3 linked regions of the Drosophila melanogaster genome follow. The gene in region 1 interacts genetically with each later gene. Each region holds a gene or a part of one and is shown in the gene's direction. Other genes may lie near its edges.

Evidence for each region. Genes that interact genetically often act in the same process or in processes that back each other up.
Region 2: of tmod (region 1) and sals, changing one enhances a phenotype caused by changing the other (phenotypic enhancement), as found in Drosophila melanogaster (one study listed by BioGRID).
Region 3: of tmod (region 1) and DAAM, changing one suppresses a phenotype caused by changing the other (phenotypic suppression), as found in Drosophila melanogaster (one study listed by BioGRID).

Annotation. Positions count from the first base shown.
Region 1 is NT_033777.3:30,529,659-30,537,627, forward strand, and holds the start of tmod (tropomodulin), read left to right. Parts: upstream 1-3,178; 5' UTR 3,179-3,324; exon of another isoform or gene 3,325-3,437; 5' UTR 3,438-3,627; coding exon 3,628-3,849; intron 3,850-7,969.
Region 2 is NT_033777.3:11,446,488-11,454,713, reverse strand, and holds the start of sals (sarcomere length short), read left to right. Parts: upstream 1-3,563; 5' UTR 3,564-3,625; exon of another isoform or gene 3,626-3,647; intron 3,648-6,351; 5' UTR 6,352-6,547; coding exon 6,548-7,595; intron 7,596-8,226. Other genes in the region: PGRP-LB (peptidoglycan recognition protein LB), read left to right, coding at 894-1,262, 1,415-1,707.
Region 3 is NC_004354.4:1,303,810-1,311,990, reverse strand, and holds the start of DAAM (dishevelled associated activator of morphogenesis), read left to right. Parts: upstream 1-3,518; 5' UTR 3,519-3,867; coding exon 3,868-3,915; intron 3,916-7,145; exon of another isoform or gene 7,146-7,225; intron 7,226-7,630; exon of another isoform or gene 7,631-7,887; intron 7,888-8,181.

The DNA of each region.
Region 1 (7,969 bases):
TTCAAAGAAAACTCGTGATATAGGGAGGGAAAAGCTCGGAATGGGAGGAGTACACAAAGAAAAATATATTCAAAATCGGCAATCAATTTAATACAGCAAACTGCAGACTTGAATTTGCGCTGTGCTATTTGAAATTTATATTTTACAGTTCCAGAGAACCTATGACTCTCATATAATCTAATAACATTTTGAGATATTCCTTTTCTCTTTGTGCTAAAAACAGGCAACGTTAGCTTGTTGGATTATAATAAAAAGCACTTCATTTACTTTGTGCAATTTACAACTGTGAAATAAACAGGGAAACGCCAAGGCCAAGGAGCTCTGAAAAGTGGCTGGGAAAAGGCAATGTGGAGAGGTTCCTGTATATATGGCCGGAAAAAAAGGAAGTGCGGTCACGCCTCGGCTGCACATGTCACCCCTTTGTATCTTGTATCTTTCTGTATGTCTTTGCCGTCACCGCTTTGTTTTATTACCAGTTTGCCTCCATTCAGAGCAGTTCATCTCCATCCAGTTTGTTTTTCCTCGCCTCTGCTTGCCCTATAATTTATTTATGCATGTATTTTATTAAAGATTTCCATGGCGTCGTTCCGTTCTCATTCTCGTTGTCGTTATCGCCGCTGTCGTCATAGCAGGCCATCCCCAGTCACTTGTTGACAAAGAAATTACTTATTAATCATATTTGAGCGCTGATTTCTCGTCGCCAAAGGATCACGAGCAGCTGTGATGGGGAGCACATGTGCGTGCATCCACAGAGGGCTCCAAAAATATAGCACTTAAAACATATTCGAATAAAATGCATTAAAAGTGTGTTATAGCAAGTAAGTTAAGTATAACATAAACCGCATCTCAAAATGAAATCATACAGATATATCATTGCATATGACTGATTAATCATTATCCTTATTTACCTTAAAACCCATCCTATTTGCCTAACCCCCGCTGTTCGTGTGTGGGTGTCTGAGTGGCTTTTGATGTGTGTTATCTCATGTTATCCTTTGGCTTCCTCTGCCGTGGCTTGTCTGTCATCAGTGTGGTTTTCCACATCCAAACACACAGATGCAGAACAGGACCGTCGAGAGGGGAATACGAAGGAGTTTGCTGCTCTATTTCGTGGCTCTATTCATTACCCAGCGCCCGCAACTCCGCCCTGCCCCTGATCCCATGCCACATAATTGCATTTGCTCATCAGAGACACATCCATTGGATGTATCTATATTCAGGCATTTGTCCCGCATCATGTCGCTGCGTTTGCCGAGCTGAAAAGACATTTTCGAGAATTAATTTTAGAATATTCCGTCTTGCGTGTGCTTGGCGCTTTGTTTACACAGCGCTGCGGGGAAAACCGGGGGTCCGTTCGAAACACTTGTCTTTCATATATCTTGTGCAGTCCGCGATGCGATACAGGAAGTCCGCACATCGCTGTCAAAACTAAAGCCCCCAAATGCCAGCAATTGAAAGCGTTCGCTAATCAAAAATCTAAATCGGAATCAGCACAAAATCAGAAATCGGACAGAAGGCAGAAGGTGAAATCACTTGAGATGGGCATCTTCCGACAGATGCCCCTGCCACAAGGCACCCTGTACAGGCCCCGCTGGCTGTGATGCACTGCCTCCACTCGCACATCGAACGCTGGCCACGGCAAAGGAAAAAGGGAAAAAAACGAACGGAAAATAAAGGAAAAAAAAAGAAAAGCGCATGAAAAAGGAAAAGACGGCGTCAAATGCCGCCCGGCCAAATGGCCAGCCGGATCAGCCCAATGTATTCCACCCGATTCAGAGTTGTTTGCCCACAGAGGGTATCGATGAGATGTCTGGGCTTATTGGAAAAAAAATGTTGGAAAAAGGGAAATGCAACACGGGCTTATGGGGATAGTAAGTCCCTCTGATAGAGTGGACAAATTGGTTTGTAAATTAATTTTAAAATCTATCTAAATTCAAGTTTATAAGATATTTTTACTTCTTGAATAAACATTCTATAATTCTTATTGTAAAACTCTATTCTTACTATCAAAATCTCTTTTTTAGGTATTCCAAAGTCGGAAGATATCACTATCTTCATCCTTGGCTGCCTCTTTTTTCTGTCTATTGTTAAATCCACCCAAAATAGCTCCACGCACATTGACGAGAAGAGTGCGTGGGTCTTTGACGGGGAGTATGGAGAGTAGGGGGTATGCGGAGTAAGGGGAGTACAGACCATATGAGATGGCGAATGAGGAGTGTTGGCACTTCACGGCGGAGTTTCACATTCTGACGGGCCTCAGACGTCCGGCAGCCGCACTAATTGCATTCGCCTGGTCAAACGAAGAAATTGCAACAGGCGGACAATTAGCGAGCGAACTCATTCGCATTCAAATTTCACATTTGCTCAAAGAAAGAACAGAAATACTGCACTCAGAAAAATGGTTAACTCACTTCTTACTTCATTGCAGATATTTTGATATTTTATAGAACTCTGGAGTTCAATTTCGGAAGGATTAGGATACATGTGGGATCACAGCCTTGTACTTTTACTTTTTAACATACGAAATATTGTCAGATAGTTTCCTCTTTTTACCAAATAAAGCTTTCTAAATGTAAATCCAATTTGGTAGGATTTTCTCTCAGTGTAGAGGCACACAGTGTAGAAAAGATCGGAACGAAGGCAACAAAAAACTTTTGAAACGCGACGAAGATCAACGTTCAAAATTGAGCAGACGTCAGCAGCGGCAGCAGATCGGCAGAGAACTGAGAGTGAGAGTGGAGGAGAGAGTGTGGAGAATTGCTGGCGCTCTCCCGAGCGCTGGGGGTCTCGGGCCGTCCCGCTCGCACCTGCGGCTAACACATTGGGGGCCTCTGCCCCACTAGACCCTCCGGAACTCAGACCGTCTCGCTCTGCTCTCCGGCGTCGGTTCCGGTGGCAGACGGCAGAAGATTCTAACTAGAAGAATTAGAAGAAGCTAGGACGGAGGCAGCAAGTAGAAGACCCGTGATCGTGTAATTCGCCTCGTGTGCGTTCCGTTGTTCCGTAATTATTCCGGATTTGTTTTCGAAACAGGCTGAAGTGATGTGATGGGATTTCGATAGCTCCATCTTTCAACTTGTTTCGCTTTATCCGCCTTTTGTCACCACGGCTCTACGTTATTCCGTTGTCCCATTGTTCCGTTCTTCCGTAGTCCCATTGTTCCGTAATTCTCCGTTCTCCGTTGTTGTCGCGCCTTTCGTGGCCGCTGGTCGACGTTACGTTTTTACAGTTCGATAATCGAGCACTTCCCGAGAGGATCGAAGGCTCCAGGCATCTGCGTAAACCACGAAGGATCTACAGTACCTCTAAATATACCGCCCTTAGGTCGAAAACAAGTTACTAAAAAACCAGCGCGCCGTGAAATTCCTCTTGTTTATATAATAACCAGCGGCTGCCAAAAGCCCAGCGGAATATACAAAAAATATTCATTTTTCTAGCTCTGGTCGTTTGTATTTTTCAGGCTAAAAGAAAGAAAATAAGAAAGAAGAAAACCCAAGCAATTCTGCGTGTTATGTGTTATCGTTGTGATCAGTGATCCAGTGATCAAGTGAAAGTGAACACAAGAACGTGAGAGAAAGCCAAGTGAATCAGCTCGACTCCAATCGAAAAGGATATAAATCAGAGACAATGTCGGACATTGAGGATGTTTTCGGTGGCTCCGCCGAGGAGACCAAGCCCGAACCCGATGCCCAGAGCAAAACCAGCGTGGTCACCGAGCACACCGAGGAGGTGATTCCCGGCGAGACCGAGAAAATGGTAACGGAGACCATCGATGAGGATGGCGATGTCGTGGAGGAAACCACCGAAGTTACCCGCAAAACGGTGAAGCGCACCATGAAGATCACTGAGGTGAGTGAACTCTGACCCATGGATCCATCTAATAGCCGCCATTATCCATTAACTAACTTATTGTGCGTGTGCTGAGTACAAACATAATTCGAATAGCCATGAAAATCAATATGTATTCTGAATTTGAAAACCGTTCAAGAAGCTATAAAAATTCGGGAACTTGGGAAATTCTTAATGGAAACTATTTCCAAAAGCTTTAATGTTAAGTGCATATTCGCAATCAACTTAAAGAACAGTTCGTTAAAATTTATTAAGCATGGAAATTTTTATAAAAATATTTTCGATTCAAGTATTGTTTACCAAGCTTTTGGTGGGGGGATATATGCCGCAAAACAACATCTTGTTTTTGCATTGAATTTATATAAAAACATCGCATATTTTTGCGAAAGTAAATGACATTCCATTTTACATATTTCCGAAAATATTCTTACGGAACTACAAGTTTAAACCAAAGAATCCGCCCAAAACTGAATGATTTCCTCAATAGTTGGCCACCCCCGATCGTTTGGCTTATGAAAGACTATAAATCATTATTCTCATATTCTGAAGGGATCTTCTGCCGTACTGGTCTCCTCGCTTGTGAAATTGGCCAAAACATGGCGAACTCTGGCTATACATTATTTATACCAAGTGCCATTTCTCTATGTGCGTCTTAGCGAATTGTTTATACGGTCCCACGAATATTATAAATCTTCCCATACATTATACATCACACACACCGCGGCACAGATATAGACGGACATATAGGCGATTATATACACATATACATATGTATGTATATGTTCGGCCACACTTTCTATAGGCGACGTTGCCGGGGGAAAGCCAACAAAAAATACAAATTTTGCAGCTGTTTGATTTCGGCGCAAATTATCACAAAAGATTTCAAATGGCATGGCGTATAAAAAAAGCTGGGAATTAAATTATTATTAAGCAGAAATCACTTAAATACTCGATGCCGAGCTATGCCAAAAAATCCCCACACTCGAAGAGAAATGGCAAAAAAATTAAATGCAATAAATTCTGTGCCGCCAACAAATGCAGAGGCAAAAAAACAAGTATCAGACCAAAAAAAAAAAAAAACAAAAAAAACATCGAGAAGAAGGCGAAACAAAAAATAAATATTGAGGTTTCCGTGTCTTGCGGTCTGGCGCGCACTGGGCGAAAGTTGGGTGGTGCCGCATGGGGCGGGTGGTGCAAGTGGTGGGGCAGCAATTAATTGCCACAAATCGTTGCACAAAATTACAAATTGCATTTCCGGCTTGGCGCGGCGGCCACGCACTTCCACCCGTATTCCCCACTACCGCTACCCCACCCCAAACCCCGCAGAAAGTCTTCGATTTTCCCGCCGCTGTTTTACGACTGTCTGGCCCCCCTCGCCCCTCGCCGGGCGAAAAGCAAAACACCGCCCGTTTTTCTTTCGTCGAGTTTTATGGCAGCCAAATTAAATTTGCATTGCAATTTACTTCTTTTTGGGTCGGCCTCTCGGCCTTTTCTCGTTTTTCCGTTTTGCCGTTTTTATGGGCCCGAAATGGAAATGAAAACGCATGAGCTCAGCCAGCCGGAGTCCTGCGAATGGGGCAGGGATAAGGATGTGCTGCTGCCAGGGCATATGTTGCCATATACACAAAACAGGATCGTATGTGCCTCGCTCCGAGCAGCTTGCCGAACTAATTGCGCTGCCAAAGTCCGGTTTCCTTGCCGAAGCTCATGAACTGCTGAACTGCTGAACTGCCCAAGCCAGCTTTCCCCGCTCACTTTCTCCCGGCGGCATTTCCTGGGCGAAAGCGGCTAATGAGTCACGTACCGTTTTTGTCATTTTTATGCGCTTAACAGGTCAAAGTTCCAGCCGCAGGGATACGTGACCAAAGTCGAGTTTGAGTTGAAAATGCAAAATTAGTTAAATAAAGTCGGAGATACGCCGGGCACTTTCTCCACTCCCCATCCCCACTGCCTTTCGTTATCCTTAATTCGAGGCGAAGCGGAAAACTGTCATAAATTTCACAGTTGATTTCACCGTTGTTTCCTGATTTGATTAGCTCATTAAACGACGGTAATTTGTGCGGTGCGGGGTATGGTTCAAGCCTCTGTGTATTTGCTTATAAACTAAACAATAAATATTAAAGAGAATGACTAAATTGAATAAAATATTCATAGAATATTCATGATTGATTAGTTTCAACAAAATCGAACTCTCAATCTATTGTCACTGAAAATTCAACATCAAATACGCCCAATTTGCGATTATTAAATTATCTGATTATGCGCCATTTAATGCAAACATTATGGAAATGCACCACTATTTAATAAACACCCAAACGAGCGACTTTGCGGTCGGAAAGTTCGGCCATATTATTCCTGCCGACTGGAATGTAGTTAAGCAAATCTTTGCTCAGCTCCGCCGTTCCAATCAAATGGGGCATGCTAATTTGTGCAACAAGCCGTAAACTCACATAACCGGACACCACATCCATATTACACATGAGCCCCATGCGGAGATTGCTGGGATAATGGAATTTCCTGTGGCCTCCAACGTCCATTGTCCTGCTGTCCCGTCCAGTATTCTCTTGATTAGACATCATAATATTGAACGGAGATTAATTGGAATCCGTGAGGGGCCAGCTCAGCTCCGAACGGATTTATTGTAGTTGGTGATGTTTTCGGGGAAAACCATTCAGAGTTTTCCGCCCGATTAGCCTGGCCACGGATATTCCGCTGGTTGTCGTGGACCACAGCGATTTTCCCGATGATTTTATTGCGCTAGCTGGCATATTAAATTGTTTTGAATTTTGCCAGCGAACTCCGCAAATGCGGCCAACCACAGCGCTAATCAGCGCAGGGACAGCTGTCTCTGCACCACCCACTATCCCGTCGCCTGGACCACCGACCGCACCGCCCACCGCACCACCAGCCACTCCCACAGATCCCTGCGCCCTTCACCCCCTTTTCATTGACAGCTGTCAACGCGGTGGCGCCTCTTGAAGTCCAAACATATATTTCACTGGCAGCCACTGAAACGTGTGTTGTGTGTGTGTGACTACACTGAGATATTTTTTGATTTTAGGGTTTAAAACTTGTATTATTCGTTACTAATATATATACCATATACCGGATAGGTTTTTTACCCGAGTTGTTTAGTTTGAAAAGATCGAGAGTTATGGATGTTACCACAAATAGTGGTACTAAAAAAGGGCCACTCCCCAACGATTTCTCGCAGTGCATGGCAAAGTGTGTATTGGTTTGGTTGAAAGGCGTGACACAACAAGACGACATTTCAATGTCAGGCGTCTCTTGGCCTTTGACGCTCGCTTAGCTTCCATTCACTTGTTGCAGTTCCCAAGGAGATTTTCCCAGGTCCCACCTCCACTCCCTCGGAAAAGAGAGGAGAAGCCCACACCCACCTCCAAATTTCGAGTACATTTGGTCAGTTATTTATGCGCTTCGCTTTCATTTCGGTTCGCTTCGCCTCGTTCGCGGTTCTGTGTTTTATTTATTTGTGCCTTGGCTGTTCAAACAATTTATAATTTTAATGCACACACTGGCCCCGCCACTGAGCACTGAACACTGAATACAATCGAAATATGTTTATATAATTGAAAAGCAAACGTTTTGCGTGAAAACATAAGGCGAATATGTGCGGCGTATATGCTACAGCATTCATGCTGGGGTATATAAATAAAGCTGCCAAATTGTGTACACGGGGCGTATGATGAACGTGCCATTTATTTTGCCGAGCGGTTTGCCTTCTCTCTCGCTCCGCTCGCGCTGTCTCACTCTGGCGAAAATCCGCCTTATGACTGGCATATATTTCATTTAATTTTCAAACACTTTGCCCTTCTATTTATTTATCCAGATCAAATCGAAAACCGCTCCTTCGAATCCAATTCTTTGACCTGCCGCAACGGAAATTTGCCCATTGCTCAGCGTCTTGAAATCCCCTGGATTTCGGATTTGGATTTTGCAGAGCGTTACATCTCCGCCAGAACAACAAACAAATAATTTCATTGCCTGCCATAGGCTTCCGCCAACTTTGGCCGGATATTCTATTGAGAATTTATTTCAATTACATTGGGGCGCGCCGCAAAAATCTCGACAAATAAAATTCATTTACAAAATGTTTTGC
Region 2 (8,226 bases), about 19 Mb from region 1:
TTGCTACCAAAGCGTTGGAATATATTTACCACAATTTTTTTTTTTTAATAATATGTACGCTTTTCCGACAGTATTTATTTTTAAACAGGTAAAATATCAACTATTTTGACAGCCAATGTATATATTTATTGGTTTTTGTTCCACTTAAAACGGATATGCCCAACTTTTACCAGGGAATGTCAAGCAAATATACATATCAAATAAAAATCACCTATCACAACAGCAATTTAGCATATTTGGTTCGCGCTCAGCGTCATCTGATGACGATCGCTATTGGCAATCGGAGCCGATCCGATCGGCGACTTGTTTTTCAGCCCATAACGGGGGTTTTCAGCGGCGTTGGGGAGTTTGTGGAGCCGGCCGAGCGTCAGTTGAAAATCGTGGGTCGTCGGAACCGCAGCCACCGCCGCCGCTGAAATCCGCAGACAGCTGCGCTCCGTGGGGAAACCGAATCCGCATCCCAGTTCGACTATCATTTATCAATGGAATGTGAGCGATGTACACGGTAGCAGAGCCGCAGACCACACGACTTCCCGCCCCTCCGCAGTACACACGCCCCCCCTTTTGCAATTAGGGCCAACAAATGCTGACTGTCTTGGAAGTGGCAAGAGTTTTTGGGGGCCAGATATAAAGTATGGCAAAAGTTAAAATTGAACTTGTTTGCGCCACGCTAAGGAATTCACGAAAATAAATGTAAACAAACAGCTCGCACGCAAAATACAATTTAAAAACCAAATTTTCCATGTGGGATGTACCCGAGCACACTCCTCAAAATTACAGTGAATCGACCGAGTGACTGTGTGTTTTTGCCAAATAAATTATAGTTTTTGTGTAACAAACAACCATGGAGTGAGAACCCAACTAATCCAAGATGACTGCATCTTTGTTTTCAGGCTATAGTCAGCACATGCAGCAGGCGAATCTGGGCGACGGTGTGGCCACCGCCCGCCTGCTGTCCCGATCCGACTGGGGTGCCCGGCTGCCCAAGTCCGTGGAGCACTTCCAGGGTCCCGCGCCCTACGTCATCATCCATCACTCGTACATGCCGGCCGTGTGCTACTCCACTCCGGACTGCATGAAGAGCATGCGGGACATGCAGGACTTCCATCAGCTGGAGCGCGGATGGAACGATATTGGTTATAGCTTTGGCATCGGCGGCGATGGCATGATTTACACCGGCAGGGGATTCAATGTCATCGGAGCTCATGCACCCAAGTACAATGACAAGAGCGTGGGCATTGTGCTGATCGGAGATTGGAGAAGTAAGTTAACTCCTAACTTTAAGAGGATAGATTTCTTTTTAATACCGTTTAAAGAGTCATGGAAACTCATTAGGTTGTTAATGAGCCTTCTTCCTTCTCTTCATTTTCTTCTTAAACTCCGTACTAATTACTTTTCCTTATTTTCCCTTTAGCCGAACTGCCGCCCAAGCAGATGCTGGATGCGGCCAAGAACCTGATCGCCTTTGGCGTTTTCAAGGGCTACATTGACCCTGCCTACAAGCTGCTGGGCCACCGACAGGTGCGGGATACCGAGTGTCCTGGCGGCCGCCTGTTCGCCGAGATCTCCAGCTGGCCGCACTTTACCCACATAAACGACACCGAAGGCGTCAGCAGCACCACGGCGCCCGTCGTGCCCCACGTCCATCCACAGGCGGCAGCACCACAAAAGCCGCACCAATCCCCGCCAGCTGCGCCCAAGGTCTAGGCTGGATTGGAGGGCCCTCATCGTCCTCGCAAAGCTTACGAGTTTAAGAGAAGCCACAACGAGCTCGGCTCCACGCACAACGCCAAGGAGTTCATTCAGTATTCATTAGATGTCTCTTCTAACATTTCACAAATAAAGCAATTTCTAGATGATAACACTTAAACATAACCCCCGCTGTTGCTCTTTGTGTCCGCACAATCGACCCACCGCCCCATCGCCCCCCGCCCGCGTTCGCACTTGTCAAATCAAATAGCAATTAATTTGTGTCAAATTCGATTTCGATGGCAGAAGTTTTTGGACGACACGCGGCGCTGAAAATGTCGGCGACCCCGGCGCATCGAAAGGTTTTTCCAGCCATTTGACATTGGCTCGCCATGCGAGGTGATGCGTAGTGGTTTTGGGGTCCAAAAGTACCCGCCAATCCTCACATGCGGACGAAACCATTCTGGGAGCATTTTGGGACTGATGAATTAATAAGACCCCGGGGGAAGTCGCATCATATTGGCATTCCAACCCACAGCGCAATTGCCTTTAAGCCTATTTTTAAAGCCCCCCAATACATATGCGCTGTATTTTGCCAAATGAATAAATATATAATTAATATTGCCGAAATGCTGTTAGATAGACGGACGGACGGACAGCAAAAAAAAAAAAAAGAATAGCAATGGCCCGTTTAAGCGGAAATTTCTCGGCTATTTTGTGTGCGCGGGAATGTTTGCCGTTCAATTTGGCATACTTTTCGGCTGATGCTGACAAGGCAAAACAATTAGTGGCGTGCTTTCGCGCAGATGTGTATAAAAAAACGAAATATTTGAAAACATGCCATTGATAACCTACATTGCACGTTAAATAAATATTTGCGGCAGTGGCATAGACTTTAATCATTTGTTTTCGCTCTGTTGCAGCTATTGGATTGATTTCGGCGGCAGCAAGTAACTCAGTAACTCTTTTTATCGAAAACGATTCGAAAATGCTATCAAAATTAAATTAGTTCAATCGAACACTCCTGTGGAAACTCGATATGCAAATGGCATACATTATGTTACGTTGATAAGGTGATAAGAGGCTTACTCACTGATTCAGCTTATATTACCAGTTCATTAGTATCATCACCAATCAATTAGTCTAGCAATAGTTCAATCGATAAAGGGGTCCCCAGCATACAGATACGCACTGATCAAACGATCGATCGATCGATTGCACCGCTCCACCGAAATGTGGAGCACACGCGAGTGAAACGGGGAAGCAACCACTTGGTAGACAATGTAAATATTGAAAGCGATTCGGAGAGAACGAACGCATTGGGACAGAACTGACCATCGAACAGAAGCACTAATGGGTTTGGACTTTCTAGACGAGTGGTTTCTATCACAGGGTAAGACGCACCAACCACCCATCCACCAAACCACCCACTCCCCCTGAAATTAGCTGCGACGCCCACGCCGCCCGAGAAACTTGCGTAATTGTGGTCCATTGAATGCGAGGCGCCTGATAAGAGGCCCCTAATGATGAGCGGATATCGAGGGGGTTGTATCCTTGGGGCACACGGGCCACATAGCCAATAGCCGGCTATTAATAATTCCATTGAACTGCACCTGCCATAAGGTCAATTGGATCCGCCGCGGATCCGCCCCATATCCCCCCAAACCCCCACAGACCGTGCCCACATATCAAAAAAGATGCTAAAAATATGCCTCTGTCGGTCAACAAAATTTTCATTTCACTTCATTTTGTGCTCACCGAAATACGACGAAGAGATAATGAGCGAAATCCCACGAGAGAGGAATTCGTAGAGCGAGCGGGAAAATTTTCAAATTTTTCACCCATCGCCGTGGCGTTGGAAAATGTATGAATTTAGTTTTTGAAACGCCGTCATAGGCGCTGCTGTTGCCTTCGCTGCTGAAAATTCACTACCAGAGTTCGTGGCTGTGTGTGTGCGGGTGTGTGTGTGCCTGCGGTTGTGGTGATGTGCGGGTGTCTGACCCAACCAGCACACACGTACAATTCAAAGAGATATACAACATATATATATATATATGAATATATATCTGTGCAATATATAGTACAACGACGCGAACGTGCTACGAAAACTGCAGCGAGCGCGAATGAACCAATTAATACACATAATAAAAATCTGAAAAATCCGTGAAATATCCAAAAATATAGCATATAGCCACAGACACAGATTCGTGTACATTTGGGCGGCAATATGCGCAGCTCTTGTCACTGGCCAATCGATCTAATAAATCTCTCTGGAGGGGCGTTATGAATGGCCAGTTCCCAAAATATCCCGTCCGATATATTTGTTTTTTTTTTAAGCACTTTTGTTGACAGGCAATCTTAGGATGAAATATGGCCGGGAATTAGCTGTTAGTTGCCATTCTGAGCACAGATCCGCGAAACTTTTGCGTCAAATTAGCCAGTCTCATTAACAATTTTAATTGAAATTGCATTTTTGTTTCGTCCTCGCCTTAACTATCTTCTGGAATCCTCTGCAATGTTCGAAATACAGTCGTACTTCGATATAACTTCCCTTGCTTCGTGTGCTGTCAAATGGTCAATGGATCTAATTTACGAATCTGATTCAATTGCCAACCATTAATTAGTAATCGATAAGCATCGCTTAAGCTGGGAGTGGAAACAGCTTAGAATGCATTCAAAGCAAATTGGAACTGACAGATAGGCAACCAAATAGACGTCGGAAAAGATACTTTCGTCGGTTATTCTTGCAATGGAAGTTTGACTGTATTTCTAAGTATAATTTTTATTTGCATGTCATGTTTAATTAACGCCTCCATGCAGGAAAGACCGAGAAAGTGTTCGTCGCTCCGGCCAAAAAAAAATTTGCAATCGCCCCAAAACGAGTGGAATGGAAATGAATATGGTGAATGTGGGGGAGGGATGGGCTTCGACGAAGGGGGTTGGATGGTTTTGGACCAGGCCATGGAATGGCAATGGAATGAAACGAATTCGGATTTCATTCTGACCCCCGAGAGCGCCCCTTCTATCACAAATTTTTGGCCTTTTTTTTCCGTCCGTACAACCAGTTTTGTGTACGTTTTTCTGTCTACTTTGTGAAACGAGCCAGTTGAATAAAAACAAAACAAAGTGAATGGAAAAAAAGGCGAAAGACGAAAGCGCCAGAGATATGTATGTTTCCTTTTATTCTTTCGATTTGGTTCCGTTTTGTCTCTCCCAATTGGGTGCTTCTCTTCACCGCCAGTGTCTTTCACTTTTTTCCACTTTTTCCACTCTCAGCGGCGGGCACAAAGAACCTAAAATTAAATATTTTCGCCTTTTACATATCGCAGCCAGTGGCAGAGCAAATCGTTTCTGTTATTGTTTTTGTTGCTCTATTCCCATACACCGACGCTGTTGTTGCTGTTGTTCTTTTTGTTTGTGCTGTTTATTGGAGTGCATATGTACGGACGGACGGACGGACACACACACATACGCAGGCGTTTAGCTGGACATTCACATTCACAGCACAGTGGCGGCCAACATAATAGTGGTCACAGAAAGTTGCAGTTGCAAGCGAGAGGAATGTTTCGCTATCCTTTTGCCCAATTAGAGCAGGAAAAGTTGCAAATTGTTGTTTACAATCTGCCCAGGAATGAGGTCATTAAAAATACATAGAAAAACGGCAGAGGAAAATCGCGAGCCAAAGAAAACTCAGCAAGAGCGAATAGTTTCCATCTTCTGCACTTTACTTTATCAGCATTAAGTCAAGCTATAACTTTTCTCGACCATGAGTAATTGATTTAAAATTCATTTTATATGTAAACATTTTTCGTTCTATCGTAATTGGTTTTCGTATGAAAGAAATATTGGAAATCACCAGCAAATGGCACAATATGTTTGTTGAATAGTTCGGCATATAATACTTTTCTGAAAAGTAAACATTCCCAAAGCATTTTCATTTCATCGTTTTCGTTCAAATTATTTAAATTATTTGACAAGTTGAAAGTTTATAAGAAAACCTTGTTATCTTGACGGATAGGATGATCTCGATTTTATCGATTGCTATAAATATCCTGGAATTTAAACATTTGGCTGCAACTGTAGGCGTTTTTGTGAGAGCCTGCAAAAGCATTCCACTCAGTTGGGATTTGTTGATGCATTTGTCCCGGTCCCCATTGCCGACCGCCATCATCCCCATATCCTCTCTACATTCCTATTTCCATCACATTCGGCATCTGTGAATGTCCCTGTCCATGACTATGACACAAAGGCCTACATTCTGTCTCTTAGTAGAAACAGCGACAGAAACAAGAAAAACAGCCAGCAAAGCTAATGAGCGCATTCAGTTAAAAATAAAATTCAAAATGAAACATACCCAAATATACACGAAATGAAATGAATTGAATCGGATTGAAAGTATCTCAAACAGCTGTTGCTCATCGTCGGCAACGGACCACGAATAAAATTCCCAGCAACAAATTCGCGACGAAAAAAATACATAAAAATCTATTAGAAAAGAAATACGCGTAAAATAGAATTATCAAGGCGAGGCACATACACAAAAAAAATCAAAAAACAAATAGAAAAATAAACGAAAAAAATTACGGAAAATCTGAATGAAAGAACTTTTTCGGACAACTTCCCCCGACGGTGCTAATGTGCAAAGTTTTGTGTTTTCATCAGCAGCAACGCCAAGAGAAGCGGGAAAAACAAGCAAAGAATTCACGGCAAATTATTTAAAAAGAGTGTGCGAACAGACGGGCGACGACATCGGGCCCTGGAGAATTTAACACCAATAAGACTGGAAAAAAATATAAACCACCAGAGGGAATAGTCTAGAATAGTCCGGAGGACCGCAAGCAGTTCGAGCGACTACGAAATGCCGTTTGTGACGCCCCGTGCGGGGACAAGCAGTGCAAGCAGTGCGCCCGGCGGACGCACCACGTTCCGTCCGCCATGGGTGAAGGACGACGGCGGCACCAGTGGCACCAGCAGTACCACAAAGCCCACTGCCACTCCGTGGGCAAAGAAAACAGCGACGACGACGACCGCCTCTCCGGCAACAAAGGAAAATGGAGAAAAGCCGACTGTGGCCAAACCAAAAGCAACTGCTACCACGACTGCAGCCGCGAGGAAGACTTCGACCCCTGAACCGGCTAAGAAGACGATAGAGCCTGTAAAGAAATCTTCACTGGCCACAAGCACAACGGCGGCCAAGAAGACACCAGAACCCGTAAATACCAAGAAAGCACCGGAGCCAATCAAGAAAGTGGCGCCCACCGTGGGGCCCAAGAAGCCAGTAGCCACCACTTCAGCGCTCAAAAAGAAGAAGGAGCCGACACCACCACCCGAATCCTCCTCCGAGGAAGAAGAAAGCGAGGAGGAGGAAGAGACCGAAGAGGAAACCGAGTCTGAGGAGGAGGAAAGCGAAGAGGAAAGCGAGTCCGAAGAGGAGGAGAGCGAGGAAGAGGACACCACCGTGGACGAGAAGGTGCCCGAGCACGTGAAGAAGGCGGCCCAATTGCGACCCACCACCGTGAACAAGAAGCCGGAACCGGAAAGTGAGTTGACCCAACGTTTTACCATGGAGAAACCCAAATTACGCAGCGTGGTGGTCAAGCGGGATAAGTCCTTGAAAAAGATGGCCACCGAAGACGACGACGAGGCCGAGGAGGGCGAAACGGAGGAGGAGCGCGACCGGCGGCGACGTTTCAAATTAGAGAAGCCCAAGCTGCGGCATGTCAAGCGCGAGGAGAAGCCTTTGCCCAGCAAGAGCACCGACGACCTGGCCAAAATCCGGCCCGTGCTCAAGAAGGTACCCAAGATCGATGAGCTCCTCAAGGAGCCGAAAGAGGAGCCAAAGCCCGAGTTCACGACCAAGACCCTACGCAAAGCGTCCATAAAGCGCGAGCCGAGCATCAAGAGCGGTAAGTTGTCCGATCCAAATCGATCCGATCCGGAGCCAGCTCCAGTGATGGAACCTAACCCGATGCCCGACTGGATTAACCCGATTAACCTCTGCGAATGGATCGACTCAACAAGCGCTGTAAATTTTTGCCCCTGCTTCTTTAATGTCTAATTTCTAACCAGAAATGTTTAATTTACGTTGCGGGCGGCTGTGGGGATATGTATTTTATATTTTTACGCTTTCTGCCTCTCCGATTTTCGTCGGCCCTGGCCAAAAGGCAAGGCCACCACTAGGGGAGCAGCAAACAAAACAAATAATGCGTCACCATGGCGGATGAGCGATATGTGCAAAAAAAAATTCGCATTTGGGATGGGAACGTGAGAATATTTTTAAAAGATTAGATGTGTCACAGTTAAGATATTTTTGGTAAATATTTTTTATAAGCTTAACGATTGAACAAACATTTAGGGGTTGTACGGGGCGTATGAGTAATATTTTATTATATAATATTTATTTTATATATATTTATTTGTTTTAAAAAACGTGCTTTTGTAATTACACAAAAGATTGTGATTGCTTTCAATATATATTCCGTTTAATGCATTTTAACAAAAATTACTCATACGCCATGAAAGCCGACGCACTGCAAT
Region 3 (8,181 bases), on another chromosome or scaffold:
AATATAATTTTACGACCGCAGCGCAGTTTATCGTATTCGTATTTTTGCATCTGCTGTTACATTAATATCGTTGTGTTGTTCGCTGCGTCATTTCAGCATCAACAATTAAAACTACTAAAAGTAAATCCAAAGTACTTAAGTGGCGAAATGATGATTCTGAACTTGACTTTGGTTTCCAGGGAAATGGTATGCTAAAGGGCAAAACTAATGGCTAGGGAATCTAATGCATTTTGGTAATCAATTTACGATTCGTTTACGACCTTTTCGGAGGCCCTTCAATGCTCCAATGGCATTTATATGTATATACTTTAATTGCACACTTAATGGCGAATTAAAGGTTTCTGCAATCCAAGTGGCCTGGTCGATGATGTCAACTAGGAAACTTTTACCTATTCACTTAGGTTGCGCCCCCTAAAATGTTTATTGGCAAACGATGAAAACAAGAAAACGCAAATTTAATTATACCCGTCACTCGTAACACAGTAAAAGGGTATGCTAGATTCACTGAAAACTCAAATTCGGACTGTTAAGACTGAGTTCATTGCAATGTTAAAGCATTGAGTTTCTGCATGCAACTGCTTTATTGCTTTTACGATGAACTATCTGATTAACGGGTATCTAATAGTCGCGACACTCGACTATAGAGTTATCTTTAGTTTTTATTTTGATTTCTGAGTCATTCAACCCGCGCCGCTGAGCAAAACTTTCATATGGGAAGTGCTGGCGAGACTTTCTTAAAAATTTGAAATACTCGTGCGTCAAGTCATCCACAAGTCCACAATTTACCAGCAGGGCCCCAAACGCCCCTTGTGGGGTGGGTGAAACCGATATTAGCTGAGCGGAATAGTTAATTAAGGCATACGCGACATATGCTAATGTCGCCGAATGTGCATATCAATTTGTCAGAGTCGCTCGTCCAACTCCTCGCCCGTTTTGGCCAAAGAAGCCGCGGGCCGCTGAGCCGTAATCAGAAATCCGTAAGCCGGAAAGAGTCGGGCCAATTGACGGATGTGCGAGCGAGTGGCACAGATGCGGGTGATCCGCCGCTGGGAGAGGCAGCTGTCAGTGATTATTATAATACACTTTCATCGAGAGATTTATTTTACTCAGCTTTGTTGTTTCCTTAGCGTTGTTCCCCAAGTTCGTTGCTTAAGTCTTTTGATTTTCCCCTAGAAGGCTCAGGAAACTGGCAAGCAGATTAGCCGCATCACATCAGTTATCGCGCCCTTCACCTGCACCCCTAACCCTACCCTTTCCACCCTTTCCACTCGTCACTCACACTTGTGATTTAGTGGGCGTGCGCAAGAGAGAGAGAGAGAGTCCGAAGGAAAAGGACGGGGCGAGCAAACACTTGTGTTTGACTCATTCATGTCAGGTGCCAACAGGCGGATAAATTGTTTGTGTATTTCTCCATTTCGCTGTGATTTCTGCCCGGCAAGAATATTAAAAGGCCGTACTTTCATGCTTTCTAGTGAAATTGAAAACTCATTTAAACAGCCGAAAATAAACAAATTGAAGACGACGCGGCCGTGGGCAAAATTTCACTTTCAACCAATGTTTTTAAACACCTTCTCTGTACTTTAGGATTTCGTCAGCTCAAGCTCAAAAATGATATGGATATGATTTTACAAGATTTCGGGCGGAGGCAGACTTGATGAAGTAGGAGCATCTGCGATTAGCTGGAAATGGAAAAGGGGCTGGGCAGAGGTTGTGCCTGGAGATAGGGGCGAACCAAATCAGATTAGCCAGGGAAATGAAGTGGGTTCTTTGAGTGATTACGAACTGCCTCATGCTCACGTTTTCTTGGCCCATCGACAAAAAGCTGCTAATGGGAAATTATGTCTGGCTGCATCACATAATGGCCAAGTAATTGCGATCGAAGCGTGGTGGCTTTCGGATGAGTTGGCACAACACCCATAAAAAGCCCTTCGAGTAGCAAATGGGAGATGGGAAATGGGAGAGTCGATTCGATTTGGCTCGGGCTGTGAGGATTGCATTAATCAATAGGGAGACTACCACTCCGACTACCTATGACTATGACGGATTCCTACTAATTTGCTTCTCGCCGTTCTCCTCTTTTCCACTTGCAGCCAAAGACTAATCCCAACAACGAAGCCAATTAGCAACAACAGGTGAGTAAGAAGTCATTGAAGACGGTTCGCTGCCGAGGAGGCAGTTGGTAAATGTTCGATAGGTCTAGAAAATCGGAAAATGAGTGCGCTTTACAGCCCATAAATATAAGTATGATACATCATTGAATAGTCGCTCTTCTATTTTCAACGATCAAAATTTAGACGTGGTAGAAGATGGTTACACCATCAAATTGGTTTTAAAATAATAATAGCATTTGCCTCTTCAACTGTTAAGGGTATCAAAAAGCTAAAAAAAAAAGGCGCGAATATCCAGCCAAAACAGCTAAAGAACGGATGGCCACCTCATGCCGTCGACTCCAAATTGAATGACCGTCAGCATTCGGTATTTGGCCAATGATCGTCGGTATAAGACAACAACATTGGCTCTAATAAGGACCGTTACATAAAAAAAAGAGATGATGAGAATCGTTGCTGAAAATCGGGAAGTGGAGATAGAGGGGCAGAGGCGGTGTTTTTACACGGCGGTATTGCCATGATATTTTATTTTTTGCATGACACTTGCAAAATCGAAACAAAAGAGAGGGAATAACAAACTTTACTTGTGACGACCTTAAATTGTTTTTGACTTTGACTTCGACTCTGGCGGCTTTGAGCCCACAATTGCCAAAGTTACCGGTGAACATGGCTATGTGCATGTTGCCGAACAACTTATCGAGCGGACTAACAATTGTCTGTTGTGTGCGGCTGATTTGCCAGAGCTAATTAAGTTGTTCGATAGACAGTTCGGCTGTCCAATTGTTTCTTGGCTTGGTTTCATGCTTCCAACTCCTTTACATTGGTCGGCTAGTTGTCTCCTTTCGAAGTTAAACTATCACTGGTTGGATTGCATTTGGGAATGAATCGCAGGTGGTATTCCAGTATCGTGGACCTTAGGCTCCGCTTGGTCTTCTAAATGCTCGTAGCAGTAAGCTCTTCGTTTCACACCCATAATTACCTCGATATCTCTTCAAGTGTCTCAGCCCTTGTGATTTCATAAATACCCCAGGAATGCACCCCGCACGCACATGGAAATGCAGCACCTTCCACCACCCACTATCCACCAAGGCGGCCCCAATCCGCGAGCCAAGGCGAGCGGTGTGCGGGCGGGAGTGCGACTGAGACTGGGACACAGTGGGGTCTGCGGCATTAGGCACAGAATAGGCTCAGAGCCCGCTTTCTGCCGTCGACCGGTTTCGCGTTCGCGTTGGAGCCCGCTCCGGCTCTCGGGCTCTCTGCTGGCACCTGTCGCTGCCACTCTGTCTTGGCCAACTTCTTCGGCTTGCCGCGGCGACGTGCTCGTGCTCGTCGTGTTGCTTTTGGCCAAGTCGCCGCTGCCGTGGGCACGTCTTGAGCGGCGAGCGTTCAATGCGCTGCCAGCCGTCGATAAGAACGCACGCGAGCGGGTCAAGTCATCCGGCAGACAGAGACCGGCTATGGAAAGCAAAACCTAAGGCTATAGGCTATATAGAAGTCGAACTGATTAAATCGGAAATTGGAAATACGCGCGCGCGTGTGCTTTTCGCAAAGCGAACGAACACTGTTTGAATACACTTTGTATGTCAATTTAAAATTTTTTTTTTCTTCGGATTAATTTTTTTTTGCATCAAGTGAATTGGCAATGAGCAGTGCGTGATGTGCGAATTGGTGCTGCATCCCAGTCCGCGGCAGAAGAGACTTGCAACGCTATAGTTATAGTTTTTGAATTCGAATTCCAGTGCTACAGAGCAGTATCATTATGTCGAGCATGAATCAAATGAGTGTCCTCATGGATAAGATCAACACGGTGAGTGCCAAGGGATTCTCTGGGCTTTTGGGGGCGTTAGTGGGTCTCTGGGTCGATCCACTTAAACCTGCCAAAGAGTGGACCTTTACACGAATTCGGTTCGGTTGTTTCGTTAAATTGAATCGCTTTTTGTGCAACCCAGTAAAATGGTGTGAAAACTATTTGCTACACTGTCGCCTCGAATACTTTGTACATTTAATACATCTATTGTTATATTCATAAACTATTTTGTTTGGTTAGGAAGTCTGTCTAGCTTCTGTGCTTTTACTTCGCAACCCCTTTTGCAATTTCGAAGAAAAGTTATTGGCTGAAGGGTAAGTCCCTCTTAACTGCTTTGGTTTCGTCACGCAGTTCCCTGCTGCACCTCTAAGGTTTTCCACCTGCTGTCTGTGAGCCTCGTATCGAGGGGGGGGGGCGAAGTAGATGAGGGGCAGGGAAAAGGGGGAATAGGCAGCGAGAGTCCGCTCTCACTTGACCAACAATTTAACGTCATTTGCATTCAAAAGTGTCGCCTAGACGCTCATAAATAAAATGAAATTGAAATTTTTGCGCCTCACTTTTCCCAGTCCCCCTTCTCCGATCGCCGATCCCCGATCCCCGATGCTCGGATGCCCGATGTCCGATGCCCGGGTACTCGACGTATTTTGATTGTGTGGAAATGAAAGTGAAATGCGCTCCAGCGAAATTAAGTGCCCATTGGCCGCCATCCCGCAATCCACCAATTCCCCCGCTCACTTCGCCCCTGATTTAAGTGCGGCTGAATGAGCTTCAATTGAATGAGCTGACGAAATGCCGCGCGCCGCATAACAAACATAAAACAAAAATCAAACGAAAAACAAACAAGTGGCCGACGTCCAATTCGGCAAATTATATGGCGGGATGGGATCGGTATTGGAGGTACCGAAAGTACTCGAGGTGCACTGCAGCCAGGCGTCTGCTGTTTGTGCAACAATAATTAATTAGTAATAATTTTCGGTTGCCTTCTTGTGTGCGAGTGTAGAAATGCCGATGGGGGGTAAGAGTTGGGCAATCTGAACGGTCGAGCCTCTGCTGGATCCTCTCAAGACCCATCCCATGCTATCCCATTCTCGCACTCTCGACCAGCACTTATTGGTTGCGATGAATGAAGCAGCTCCTGGCTTGGATTCGGCATGAAATTAGAAGACTGCAACTGCAATAGCTTTATAGCAACCCAGCTGACTGAAGTCCATCGAAATGTATGTATGGCTTTGGAAAGGAAAAAGAACAAATACTGCACAGCATAGCAATGGCATTTATCGCATATTTTACACCAACTCAACTGACACAACACCTCTATGCTGGTTGGGAAATGTCATAATACCACTTGTCTGTCCTACGCTCTACTTGTGTGGGTTTTCAATGACTTGTAGCTCCACTTCGGGCTGCGCTGAGTTTACTTCCTGGCGACACACTGACGCCTAGAGGGAGTTGGGCAACGGGAAGGGGCAGGGAATGGGGGCTATCATAATTCGCGATTGGAGGGATTATCCCCAACGAATGACCAATAATTAACGGCAAGTTCCGTTGTGACGTCAACTACCGCAATCTGCGCTAGAATTCCATTGAGCTTTCTCCACGAAATGCGCAGGTTGCATAATCTGCATCTGCATCAGCATCTGCATCTCGGCCAACTGTTTGCTTCTGCATCTGCAACTGCAACTGCCGCCAAACCCGCTCGCGAACTGGTTCGTCTGGCCTGTGGCCGCCTTATTTATGACGCAAGCCGCTGGCGGATTCTAGGCTCTAGGCTAGCTAGGCCAGACTGACATTGGCCTAGCCCACGGAGTAGTTCGAGGCGATACGGGGGCATTCAGCAGACGGACTCGATTCTCACGAGCACTGGAGCTGGAATGTGGGCCAAGTCATTGGATGGATAGTTAAATTATCTCAACCGGTGGCTTCACACTTGCTCACCTCCAATTACCTGCTATTTATATGTGGCACTTTCAGCTTGAGGCTGCAAGGCCTGCTAGTATTTCTTGGGCTATGCCAAAGTCTGCTACAAAAAAAAAAATATATCTATTGCATTATAGTGTATTTATAGTGTATGAAATAATAATATGGCATAGTCCGTAATCCGAACCCTAGACAAATCCAGACAGACCGCCAAGGTCTCCGGCCACCCGTCTCCTCGATTGTGGTGACCGCATCACAGAAAGTTGATTCCCGATAACGGATTGATATCACTACCTAGACACGGGAAGCTCTGACCCATATAGCCATATAACCCTATAGCAATTGGGCATAGGCCTGGCCGCACACGAACACTTTATACATTTTCGGAGCCCATATACGGAAGCCGTGCAATGCTAATGAATCGCTGCGAAAGCAACCGAAACCAGGCACCACCAGCACATGACCAAAACTAGACTGGGAAAAGTGTGTAATAATTTCCTGTCTCAGCCTGATTTGCATGTGAAGTCCCCACTCCAGCTCGATTTAATCCACTTGGACTTGGATTCGGATTCGGAGACCGCTGCTCTCCAATCCAATCCAATCCAATCCAATGCAATTCACTCTACTCCACTCCAGCTGGCCGTCTTGTTTGACTTACTTCATCATTCCTAATGGCAATAGATACCAAAGTATCTGCATGTAATGCGATCCATTTGCGGGCCACCTACGCTCCGAAACTTTCCAGAGTTTGTCAGAGATTTGAATTGAAATTTATGCGGACATGAATTAGCCGCCGCTGACCCGACTAATCAACTGGAAAAGCATAATTCCTTTGTTTTCGCCTTTTTTTTTCCGAGTGAAAGTGCCCATCTGACAGCTGATAACGCATTTGTTCGTGGATCGGATGTGGATGGGATGTCCGGCACATAAGCCAAGCAATTAGCAATTAAAGGTAACCATATCGGGACATATTAGGTTCTCGTTTATATAAAATGAGCTGAAAGCGATCGATGAACATTCTTTTTAAATTATATGTGAACAAGAAATCTAAACGATAAATACACCTTAAACGAGGAGTTCCATATATATAGTACAATACCATGTATCTCAGTATTTGCTCTGGGTAATTATCACATCAGCTGTGATAAGATTCCCCGCCACCTTGCTCTTCCACTCTTTCGCTGAGTATCTCCGCATCTTGGATGGCGTATCATTGTCAGTGTCAAAGCAAGTAAACATGCAAAGCAAGGCAAATATAGCTATATTTTGGACCGAGTTGGATAAGATACGGATCTCGGCCAAAAACTTTGCCCAGTTGAGAACCCAGTTCTGGGGCAGGAAGATGCAAACAGCCGTGCAAGTTGAAGTCAAGAAGCCGCCGCGAAAAAACAAGGTGAGGTTCAGTTAGTTTGGAATCGCGATTGGTTTCGTTCGGCAGGGGCCTAAGGTCAAGCTCGTTTTCCCTGACCCGCTGCCCCACTCGGCAATGGAGGTGGCAATCCCAACCATCCTCAACACGGTCCAACCGCTTTCCACGCACTCACGGCAGGGGCAGGAGTTTTCTTTGTTAGGCAGATTTCACCGACAAACAAAGCAAGAAATTGCCAGCTTAATTTACGGCATTGAACTGACTGGACTGACTGGACGACAGAGTGCTAGGAAATGCGGGATGGGGCAGCGCACGATCTATGCTTTGCTGATCTTCTGCTTTGTTTTTCCCCGTTTCCCTTTTCGATAAACATTTTCACTTTCGTTTTCGTATTCCTATTCAATTTGTGTGTTTTGGGGTTTCGCTCAGATTCGAGATACGAGCGCCACAGAGTTTTCCCCTCGACCGCCAGCCAATAATCACAATAATCATGGTAAGCGGGCAGTCAGTCAGGCCAAAACAGGTTGCCGGCGGATGCCCAGACTGCAGACTTCAGACTCCATACTACACAGACTACACAGACTCGGATTTTTGGGATGCCGAACGAAAGTGAAAACATTCACCGAGCACCAAGAAGCCAAGAGGAGTTGCAGGTGAAGCTGGAGACGGAGACGGTGATGGTGACGGTGACTCGCGTCCGAAATGAAGATTGAATTTAAATAAATTTCGTATGTTAATTGCAGTTCCCATCCCCAAACTGAAAACCCGCCGCCACATGAGACTGAAATCGAAACTGAAACTGAAACTGAAACTGTAAATTTCAAGTTTTTCTTATGTTTTTCACCTTTTTTGCGAATGCCTTGCTGGCTTACTTGAATTAATGAGGGTCAAGATACTTGGGCTTTGCTTTCGGTTTTTGATTTTCGGTTAACTCCGCTTTTGCTTTCTACATAGCGCGGAGAAATGGTAGATCCAGTGAT